Sus scrofa: one gene and its partner. Each later gene encodes a partner of the first gene's protein in a complex. Links are inferred from orthologs where the notes say so. Each region holds a gene or a part of one and is shown in the gene's direction. Other genes may lie near its edges.

Region 1 (4,366 bases):
AACCATCATGATCTCCTATCTAGAGTAACTCCTTAACTAGTCTTGTGCCCGCACTTCTGCTCCCTTTCAATCTATTCTTCATTTTCCACATACCAGGGAAGGACCTTTAAAATATATACATTTTAATAAACTATATGTATTTTTGATACATATATATCTCCAATCAAGTCCAATCAGGATAAAGCTCAAACCTCTTAGCATTGCCCAATATGATCTGATCTTTGTCTACTTCTTTGCAATCCCATCTCTCACTGCTCTCTGGACAACCTACATCAGCTGCACTGTGGGATCACTTCCTTAACTTCCTCTTCATCTAAATAACTCATCACTCTTCAGTCCTCAGAATAAGATCCTCACCTTCTGGCTAGGAGATTATCTTTGACCTTCAAACTAGATCAGGCACATCTGACGTCTTATCCTAACTATCTGTCTCATATACTGGAACATCCATTACCCTTTATTATATTTACCTCTGCCATTGTCTACCTCTTCTGATAGATTTTAGGGTCTGAAAACAGACCAAGTTACCTTTGTTCACCACTGTATGTCAAAGACGGGTGTAAAGCCAGTAAGACTAAGGGCTCTCCACCCAGAGACTGAGAATTAAAACTGAGGACAGCTGTGACTTTCTTTGTAACTTTCTTTATATCTAGAGACTGAAGCTTCAGGTAAAAGATTAAACCTCCTTAACGACCAAGGCAATTCCAATTAAACCCAAGGAAAGCAAACAGGTGGAGTCTCTCGCCGCTTCCCATGCTGAGTGACTGCTTGTCAGGGGTTCTCACACCACCAATCGCCACGGGGAAAATGGGGCCCCATTCCCCGACTAGTGGCCTTGATGGCTCAGCAAGGGGACCTCAGCGTTCAGAGTGATGCATACAAGACCAGAAAATGGGGGGCTGTAGTCCCTGGGTCCTCGGAGACCAAGAAGAGCTTTGGGCCAAGGCGAAGGACAAAGAGCTTTATTTCCCCACGTACCAAGCGAGGTGGCGCTGCCTCTGTGCGGTCCCGCCCGCCCCGAGACGCAGCCTGACGAGGACGGCGGGACCCTGAACTGCACGGGAGCGTCCTTGGAATCGAGGACGCGCCTCTGCCTGCTGGGGAAGCTCCGGGCGTCCGAGGCGGCCGGCGGAGAAGTTGCAGCGGCGCCCCAGCGGGGTCGCTTGGTGCAGGGCTCACAGCCGGGGCCCGCACTCATGCTGGGACCCGCAGCGAACAGTCCCCGGGCCAGCCAGGGCGGAGAGCCTCATTCACTAACCCGGAGAGGGACGGACTGCGCCTCCTTCTCGGCGCCTCCCGGCACCATGCCCTCTCTGCTGCTGCCTGCGTCTGCAGCTGCTGTTCCGTAGGCCTCCCGAGCCAGGCCCTATCCAGTCGCCTGCCTTCCCTCTTCCACAGGCACCCCACCTGCCTCAGGATGCGCCGCTTTGATTTTCTTGCTCCGTTCACTTTCCCACCACCGGAAAGCTGCCGTCAGGCGCTTCCGGTTTCCGGGACGTACGCTGTCGCAAAGCGGAAATGTGAGGTTTAGGTGCTGCCGGCGCCCGGAAGGTCAGCGTGTGAAGGAGGTGGTGGTAACGCGGGTTTCACCCGCTGTTACAGAGGAGCAACGGCCGAGCGGACGATCCCGGCCTGAGCAGCGGGGAGAAGCAGACCGGTAGTTTGCTGCAGTACCATGGAGGGCGGTGGAGGAAGCGGCAACAAAACCACAGGGGGATTGGCCGGCTTTTTCGGAGCCGGCGGAGCTGGCTACTCGCACGCGGATCTGGCGGGAGTCCCGCGTAAGTATCGGGCCTAGCTTACGAACATTTCTGACTGGTTCTTGCCACCACGCCAAACCTGCGGCGTGCCCTGTCCTTTTTTTGCTAGCGGTCACAAGCTTCAGTAGCAATCGTGGGGTTGGTGTATCTCCGGGGCCGCTCTTTCGACATCGAACGAATTTTTGGAGCCATAGATCCGGAGAAGGTTTCTGTGGTTGTCCTGGATCATGTCAACCAGGAGATGCTGCATGTTTTCTTCCTTTTATATTCAAGCTTTCTGCCTTCTCTTTCCTCTCGCACATTCCTGTATATTGGGCCTTGTGCTTGGCTCTAGGTGAAAAAGAAAACCCCCTTCTGCAAGTAAATGCATTCCAAATACCGAGTTCATAGATAACTTTTTAGCTCAAAGTCGCATATTCTAAAACCACAAGTAGCCGTCAGGGCCACTCATGCATACAGGGGAGAAAGAAACATGATTCGAGACAACTAGGGGAACACGGAAGAGAGCTGAATTTTAAAGGTAATTTATAGACAAGAAAGAAGCCAATATGAATTTTAGGAAGGGAAATACGTACAATCGAGGGTGCTGGAAGCACGAATGCCCTGCCTGTGCGCTCCTCAGTACAAAGAATGTGTATTCTAGATCTTTGAAATTATCTAACTGGGTATTCAACTGGATGACTAGAACTTGGACCTAAAAATAGGAAGTTGGTGGAGGATAAGCGTTTTATAAAACTATTTTCTCTTTTAAGAATTTTCGTACTACTTCTTTAGGTCTTTTATGCTCAGAAACCAAAAAAGCTTTTTTTTTTTTAAACACGCTTAGAAGTTCCTAGTGTGACCTGTATCAAAACTGAATTTAGGGCGTAGTTTGTATATGATAACTTATAGAACAGAACTGTAGGGAGTTTGTGTATAATAAGTCACAGGAGCTCCGCATTTGGAGCACAAAGGGCTCTGCTTTAATGTGAAAAACCATTGTTACATTAATTGAAATTTGAAGGTAAATTAAAAGATGGAGTCAATACCATTTATTGAGTACTGTAGATGGATTTTTCTGGGTGCAGAACTAAGACAGTTAAATTTAAAAAGATGATTGCTGTTTTTGTGGACCTTACATCCTATTGAAGTGAGCCAGGTAACAAAAATGTTTCAGTGACACACTTATCACTAAGTGTCTGAAGGCAATAAAGCAGGATCTTGAGATGGTAGGAACTGGAAGCCTTTTAAGAACAGATCAGGGAAAGCAACTCAGGGGTGCTGGCTTTTGAGCTGTGACCTGAATACAGTACAAATGTGGGGAAGGGTAAGTGTTGAAGGAAACAAACCATTAAGCCGTTGTGTCTACACAATGGTGTAGAAGGTGGTGTGATAGAAGATAATGAGATTTAGAAGGGCAAGGAATGGCAGCCAATGTGCTGTTTATTAAGCCTTTTAAGGAGTCTAGTTAGGTAGGAGATGGTTAGGATGTGAGCCTTAGTGCTTAGATCAGGATGGTAGCAATAAAGATGGTAAGGAACACAGTTCGGGATAGGTATTGTTTATACAACTAATAAGACTTGCAGTCGATTCTGGATAATGAGTAGAGTCCTGGGTAATGGGTAGATTTGTGAACAATCAGCTGAGATGCAGGAGGATCCAAAGTTTAAATTTTAAACATGAGAAAGTTGATTTTCCCTGATTTGTCTATCTTCAAAGTTAGTGGAATTCAAGTCTGGGCCTCTCAGAGGTCCCATTTTCTTTTGCCATGACCCCCATCCCTGTGGTGAAGACCTACGAATTCTGTATCCTGTAAATCAGTCCTGTCAGCAACTGTCAACACGAAGATCTGAAGGAACTGCCTTTAAATATTTATACAGAGCGTATGAGGCAAATGATGTTTTTCTTATGAAATTGGTTTCTTGTCAATCTTATTTTACACCCTGTATAGTTGTTGAACATTTTTGCAGTAAAGTAGAAAGAAATAGTTTTATAATTGACCTGGCCTTTGCTTCCCGCTACTTTGATTATTTGATCCATGTTACTGCCAATATGAGAACCTGAGACACAAGTGCAAAATTAAGGGCCCCAAGAGAGGCAGCCCATAAACTACCAGACAGGGAGGATAAGACTAGGAAAGTGGGAGAAAAATTTACATTCATTGGACTTATAACTCAAAACTGCAAAACATGTGAATAATCGAGAGCAGAATTAACACTAAATGAAATAACTTTTAAAATTTTTATTGCCATGTAATGTTTTGTTTTCTCTCTAGTAACTGGTATGAATCCTCTGTCTCCTTATTTAAATGTGGATCCACGATATCTTGTGCAGGTAAGATTTAGACTAGTCCTTTTATGATTTTCCTAGATTGGTCCTTTAACTATGCATTTAAAAAAATAACCCCAAGTACTTAACGTTTACTTCTGTACCTGGTGCCTCTGGAGACACCAAGTCTCTGGTCTCCATTCACCTTTTTTTCCTTATAAACTCAGGGGATTTGGTTTGCCTCTCTTCCTGACACTACTTGATTAAAGGATTTGGGGGGTTTGTCTTTTTTTTTCCATTTTTTAAAATTGTGATAAGATACACTAGCAAAATTTGCCACCTTTAACTGTATGGTGGTA
Region 2 (4,576 bases), on another chromosome or scaffold:
AGGGCCACACCTCCTTCAGTCCCCTGGTGGAGCTGTTTTCCACAAAGCAATACTTAGAGGACCTGGGTCTCTGGGGGTCCAGTGCCATCTCATCCTTGGCCCAGAACACCCACTTTCACCAAATAAGCCCTGAAGCATTGGATTACCAGCTCCACTCCACTCCCCCAGACTCAGGGTCAGTTCACTCTCGGGGACCCCAGTCCTTTTGTCTATGAGTCTTGTTGTCATTCCTTTATGTCACTGACCATTCAGCTCTTTTCTTCTAAGATGGAAGGGCTACTTCCAAGGGTGGGGTGACAGCTTTCTCCTCCAGCCAAAGGCTAAGTCCGAGGCCTCCTTGCCCAGCCCCAAAGAACTAGTTTTCAACCCGTCGAGCCACCATGGGAACTCCCTGAAGTGTTTTTAATTACATTCACACATTCCAAATAAGTAAGCCCTCCTGGACGCAGGCATCCAAGTCAGAGGACTGGTTTGAATTGTTGTTTTCACACTTCCAGACTAGCTTTATTTAGTTCTGTGGAGGGTTCAGTTCATTTCACCTTATTTCCAAGATTTGGGGGGGGGAACCTCATTCCCCCTGCAGTTTGCTATTATTTATTACAGAAACTTTTCCATGAAATAAATGTACACACATGTTTTGTTTCGTTGAGGATTTTTTTTTTTTTTTTTTTTTGTCTTTTTAGGGCCACACCCATGGCATATGGAGGTTCCCAGGCTAGGGATCCAATCGGAGCTGTAGCCACCAGCCTATGCCAGAGCCACAGCAACACAGGATCCGAGCCGTATCTGTGACCTACACCACAGCTCAGGGCAACGCCAGATCCTTAACCCACTGAGCGAGGCCAGGGATTGAACCTGCAACCTCTTGGTTACTAGTCGGGTTCTTTAACCACTGAGCCACCAGAGGAACTCTGGACATTTTAAAGTCAATCTCAGATGTTCAGGATGGAGACCTATAGCAGCTGTCACCTGACTGAGGTTTTGCTTTCAGGCCGATGGCCCCCAGCCTTTTGTCTCCTCCTCTGGGCTAAGCCCCCCTTACATCTCCCGGGATCATTTAGAGTGAGGTCCGGAAGAACTCTGTTGTTGCTGTCCCCCATGTTAAGGTCCCCCATGAATCACGGCAGCGCCCCAGGTGTTCACAAACATTCATGGAACGTTCACTACATTCCGGCCCCCCCGAGATAAAATATTCAGGTACTGCCCATCTTAAGGAGCTCCGTGGCAGCAGTGGGGGCCTTACCGACCCGTCGAAGTTGGCAGCAGTAATTCGCACTTGACAGCCGGGTACTAAAACAGAGAAAGTCATTCGGGAGGTTCGAGTTACAACGGCAGTTTTGTTTCGGGCCCCACCAGGCCCCGCAGCTTCAGCTCTGGGTACCTCTCCTCACCTGGGATTCCCCACGCGGCCACCCACACGCACCGCCCCTCCGCCTCGGAGGCCCGCCCCTCTGGTCTGAGCCCCGCCTTCCGCCCCGCGGCCCCGGCTTTCATTGGCTGCGGGAGGAGGTGGCGAGCCAATCCCCGCAGATTCTAACGCCCTCCTCCCGGGATCACTTCCGCCGCCGGGCCAGGCCCCGCCCCGTTTACCCGGCATCGCGGCGCCGCGGAGTCAAGATGGAGGAATACGCGCGCGAGCCCTGGTGAGCCTTCTCGCCGAGCTGCCTGCCTCCCGGCCCGGCTCGGCCCAGCCTGGCTCCCGAGGCGAGACCGCTCAGCGCCAGGCTCGGCGGCGCCGGGGCTATAGGCACGCAGGCGTGAGCGGCCGGCTTCTCAGCCGGTGACCTTGCGGCGACTCGAGGGCGCCCCGGCTCAGCTGTGCAGACGCGGCCCCTGTCCGACCTGCGGGTGGGAAGCAGCCCCTCTGCCCTCCGGCGACCTTGGCTCGTCCTTGTGCCCGCGTGGCTCAGCCTGCGTGGGGAGGGAGCCAGGCCGAGGAGGCCGCTTGGGGGCGAGGGCCGGGCTGGGGACTCTCCCGTGGGGGCGAGGCGTGTGTTCTCGAAAAGCCACCGACGGGAGTCGGTCCATTCGATGTTTTGGGGCAGGGGGCTGCCTGTGCTCCGCAGTCGCTCGGTCCTCAGAAGGAAAGCATGGAGGAGTCCGACCTGCAAAGTTTGAGGCTTCTGGGGTCAGGAGTGAAAATAGAACGTGTTACTTGGGTTAATCACCGGTGCTTTCCATCTGTCGGAAGGGGCCAGGGCTTTCTGTAACGAATCGTGCCAGCAAAAGCCATGTTGCCTGCTTTGTGCTTTTTTTTCCTCCCTGAACTGAGATACAGAGTATTACTTTGCAGAGCCTCCCAGTTCTTTAAATTTCCCTTCTCCAAAGGTGATACCCCTTCCTGGGTTGTACTCAGGTGTGCAGGACTCAGCATACTATACTGCTCATGTCAGGTATGATAGGGCACAAGTTGGCAGGAGGGGAAGTTGTTTCACTTGGTTGTTAGAGGTGTTAGGGAGTGATAGTTGTCATCTACAAACGCATTTAATGGCCCCTTTGTGCTCTCTTACTCCGGATGTTCTGAAGCCGCATGGTCAGTTCAGTTCTCAGGTTGGCTTTGTCCTCAACTGCTTTGATCTTCTGGAAGACCCTGGTCCCTAAGGTCATCCAGGCTCAAACTACAAGCATCTTGCCCTCCCTGCACACCACCCCACCCAGCCCCCTTGCTGTCGTCGGAATTCTTTGAGGACTTGCGCTTTCAGTTCCTGTAGTCAGGACCTTACCTCTGTCCTTAATGCCTTTTACAGAAGCTTCTTTATTGTTTTCCTTCTGTCCTCTTCCTTAAATGTATGATAGGTACTTAATGGTCCTAAATACTTTCTTTTTTTTTTTTTTTGTCTTTTTGTCTTTTCTAGTGCTGCACCCGAAGCATACGGAAGTTCCCAGGCTAGGGGTCCAATCGGAGCCAATCGGAGCCGTAGCTGCTGCCTACGCCACAGCCACCCTAAATACTTTTTAATCATGTTTTCTTTTCAAAAGCCCTTAGTCTATAGGATGTAGTGGAAAGAATTTGGGGGCTTTGGAGTACTAGATTTTGTATTTAAATTGGTTCTACTAGGTTTTTTTTTTGTTTGGTTGGTTTTTTTTTTTTGTTTTTTAGGGTCGCACCCATGGCATATGGAGGTTCCCAGGCAAGGGGTCAAATTGGAGCTACAGCTGCCTGCCTACGCCACAACAATTCGGGATCCGAACCATGTCTGTGACCTACACCACAGCTCATGGCAACACCGGATCCCTAACCCACTGAGTGAGGCCAGGGATGGAACCCCTAGTTGGATTTGTTTCTGCTGGGCCATGACAGGAACGACTAGGTTTTTTGTTGTTGTTGTTTGTTTGTTTTTTGGGATTTTTTGGGGGTTTTTTTTTGGTCTTTTTAGGGCTGAACCTGCAGCATATGGAAGTTCCCAGGCTAGGGGTCGAATTGGAGCTGCAGCTGCCGGCCCACACCTCAGCTCACGGCAACACCAGATCCTTAACCCTCTGAGCAAGGCCAGGGATTGAACCCACATCCTCATGGATACTAGTTGGGTTTGTTAACCAGTGAGCCACGACGGGAACTCCTAGGTATTTTTTATTTGACCTTGGGCAAGTTACCTAATCTCTGAGTCCCTGTTCATCTGTAAAATGGAGAGGAGACAAATACTCTTTTGCAAAGTTAAAAGATAGGGATTCTATAAGAAAATAATCTAGCTTTCTTGAAAGTCCGAAAGGTACCTACAGTGTAGTTGATGACTTTTAATCTTGGTATGATTGGTTATTGGTTCTTGTTGCCCTGTATTTGCCTAGCATTTGCTTTTTTTTTCTTCCAGTTTTCTTTTTTTGGCATTTTTGTCTTTCCTAAGGCCGCATCTGAGGCATGTGGAGGTTCCCAGGCTAGGGGTCCAATCGGAGCTACAGCTGCGCACCTACACAGCAGCCACAGCAACACCAGATCTGAGCTGCGTCTGTGACCTACACCACAGCTCACGGCAACACCGGATCCTTGACCCACTGAGCAAGGCCAGGGATCGAACCTGCAACCTCATGGTTCCTAGTCGGATTCGTTAACCACTAAGCCATGACGGGAACTTCCTAGCATTTGCTTTTAGAATCTGGCTTCACCCTTCCTTTGGTGTAGACCATCAGTTCCCTGCAGGCACATTTGGATTTAGCCAGGCTTTGTTCAGAAACTTTCCGTCTTGCCTTTGTTTGGGACATCCTGTCCGAATACTGTGGCTGCTCTGATCTGAATCCTTTTTTTTTTTTTTTTTTTTTAATGGCCTCACCTGAGGCCTATGGACGTTCCTGGGCCAGGGATTGAATCTGAGCTGTAGTTGTGTCAATGCTGGGTCCTTAACCCACTGCACAGGGCAGGGTATCAAACCAGCACCACTGAGACAATGCTGAATCCTTAAGCTGCTGTGCCACAGCAGGAATTCCTGGCTCCTGCTAGTCTTCATTTCTTAAATGCTGATTTATTTCTGTTCTGATTAGAGGATCATTTAGGTTAGATTGTTTAAAGTTAGTGACTCTCCTCTGTCTTTCCGCCCTTTTTTTTTTTTTTGTCTTTTTGCCATTTCTTGGGCAGCTCCCGGGG

Evidence for each region.
Region 2: mitochondrial import inner membrane translocase subunit Tim23 (region 1) and TIMM17A share a complex: the UniProt entries of both Homo sapiens proteins name them as parts of the TIM23 complex. The link is inferred for Sus scrofa from reciprocal best matches to the Homo sapiens genes TIMM23 and TIMM17A.

Annotation. Positions count from the first base shown.
Region 1 is NC_010456.5:90,479,521-90,483,886, forward strand, and holds the start of mitochondrial import inner membrane translocase subunit Tim23, read left to right. Parts: upstream 1-1,434; 5' UTR 1,435-1,675; coding exon 1,676-1,781; intron 1,782-4,014; coding exon 4,015-4,073; intron 4,074-4,366. Other genes in the region: PARG (poly(ADP-ribose) glycohydrolase), read right to left, coding at 979-1,198. UniProt on the Homo sapiens protein: Essential component of the TIM23 complex, a complex that mediates the translocation of transit peptide-containing proteins across the mitochondrial inner membrane.
Region 2 is NC_010452.4:24,198,783-24,203,358, forward strand, and holds the start of TIMM17A (mitochondrial import inner membrane translocase subunit Tim17-A), read left to right. Parts: upstream 1-1,562; 5' UTR 1,563-1,617; coding exon 1,618-1,643; intron 1,644-4,576. UniProt on the Homo sapiens protein: Essential component of the TIM23 complex, a complex that mediates the translocation of transit peptide-containing proteins across the mitochondrial inner membrane.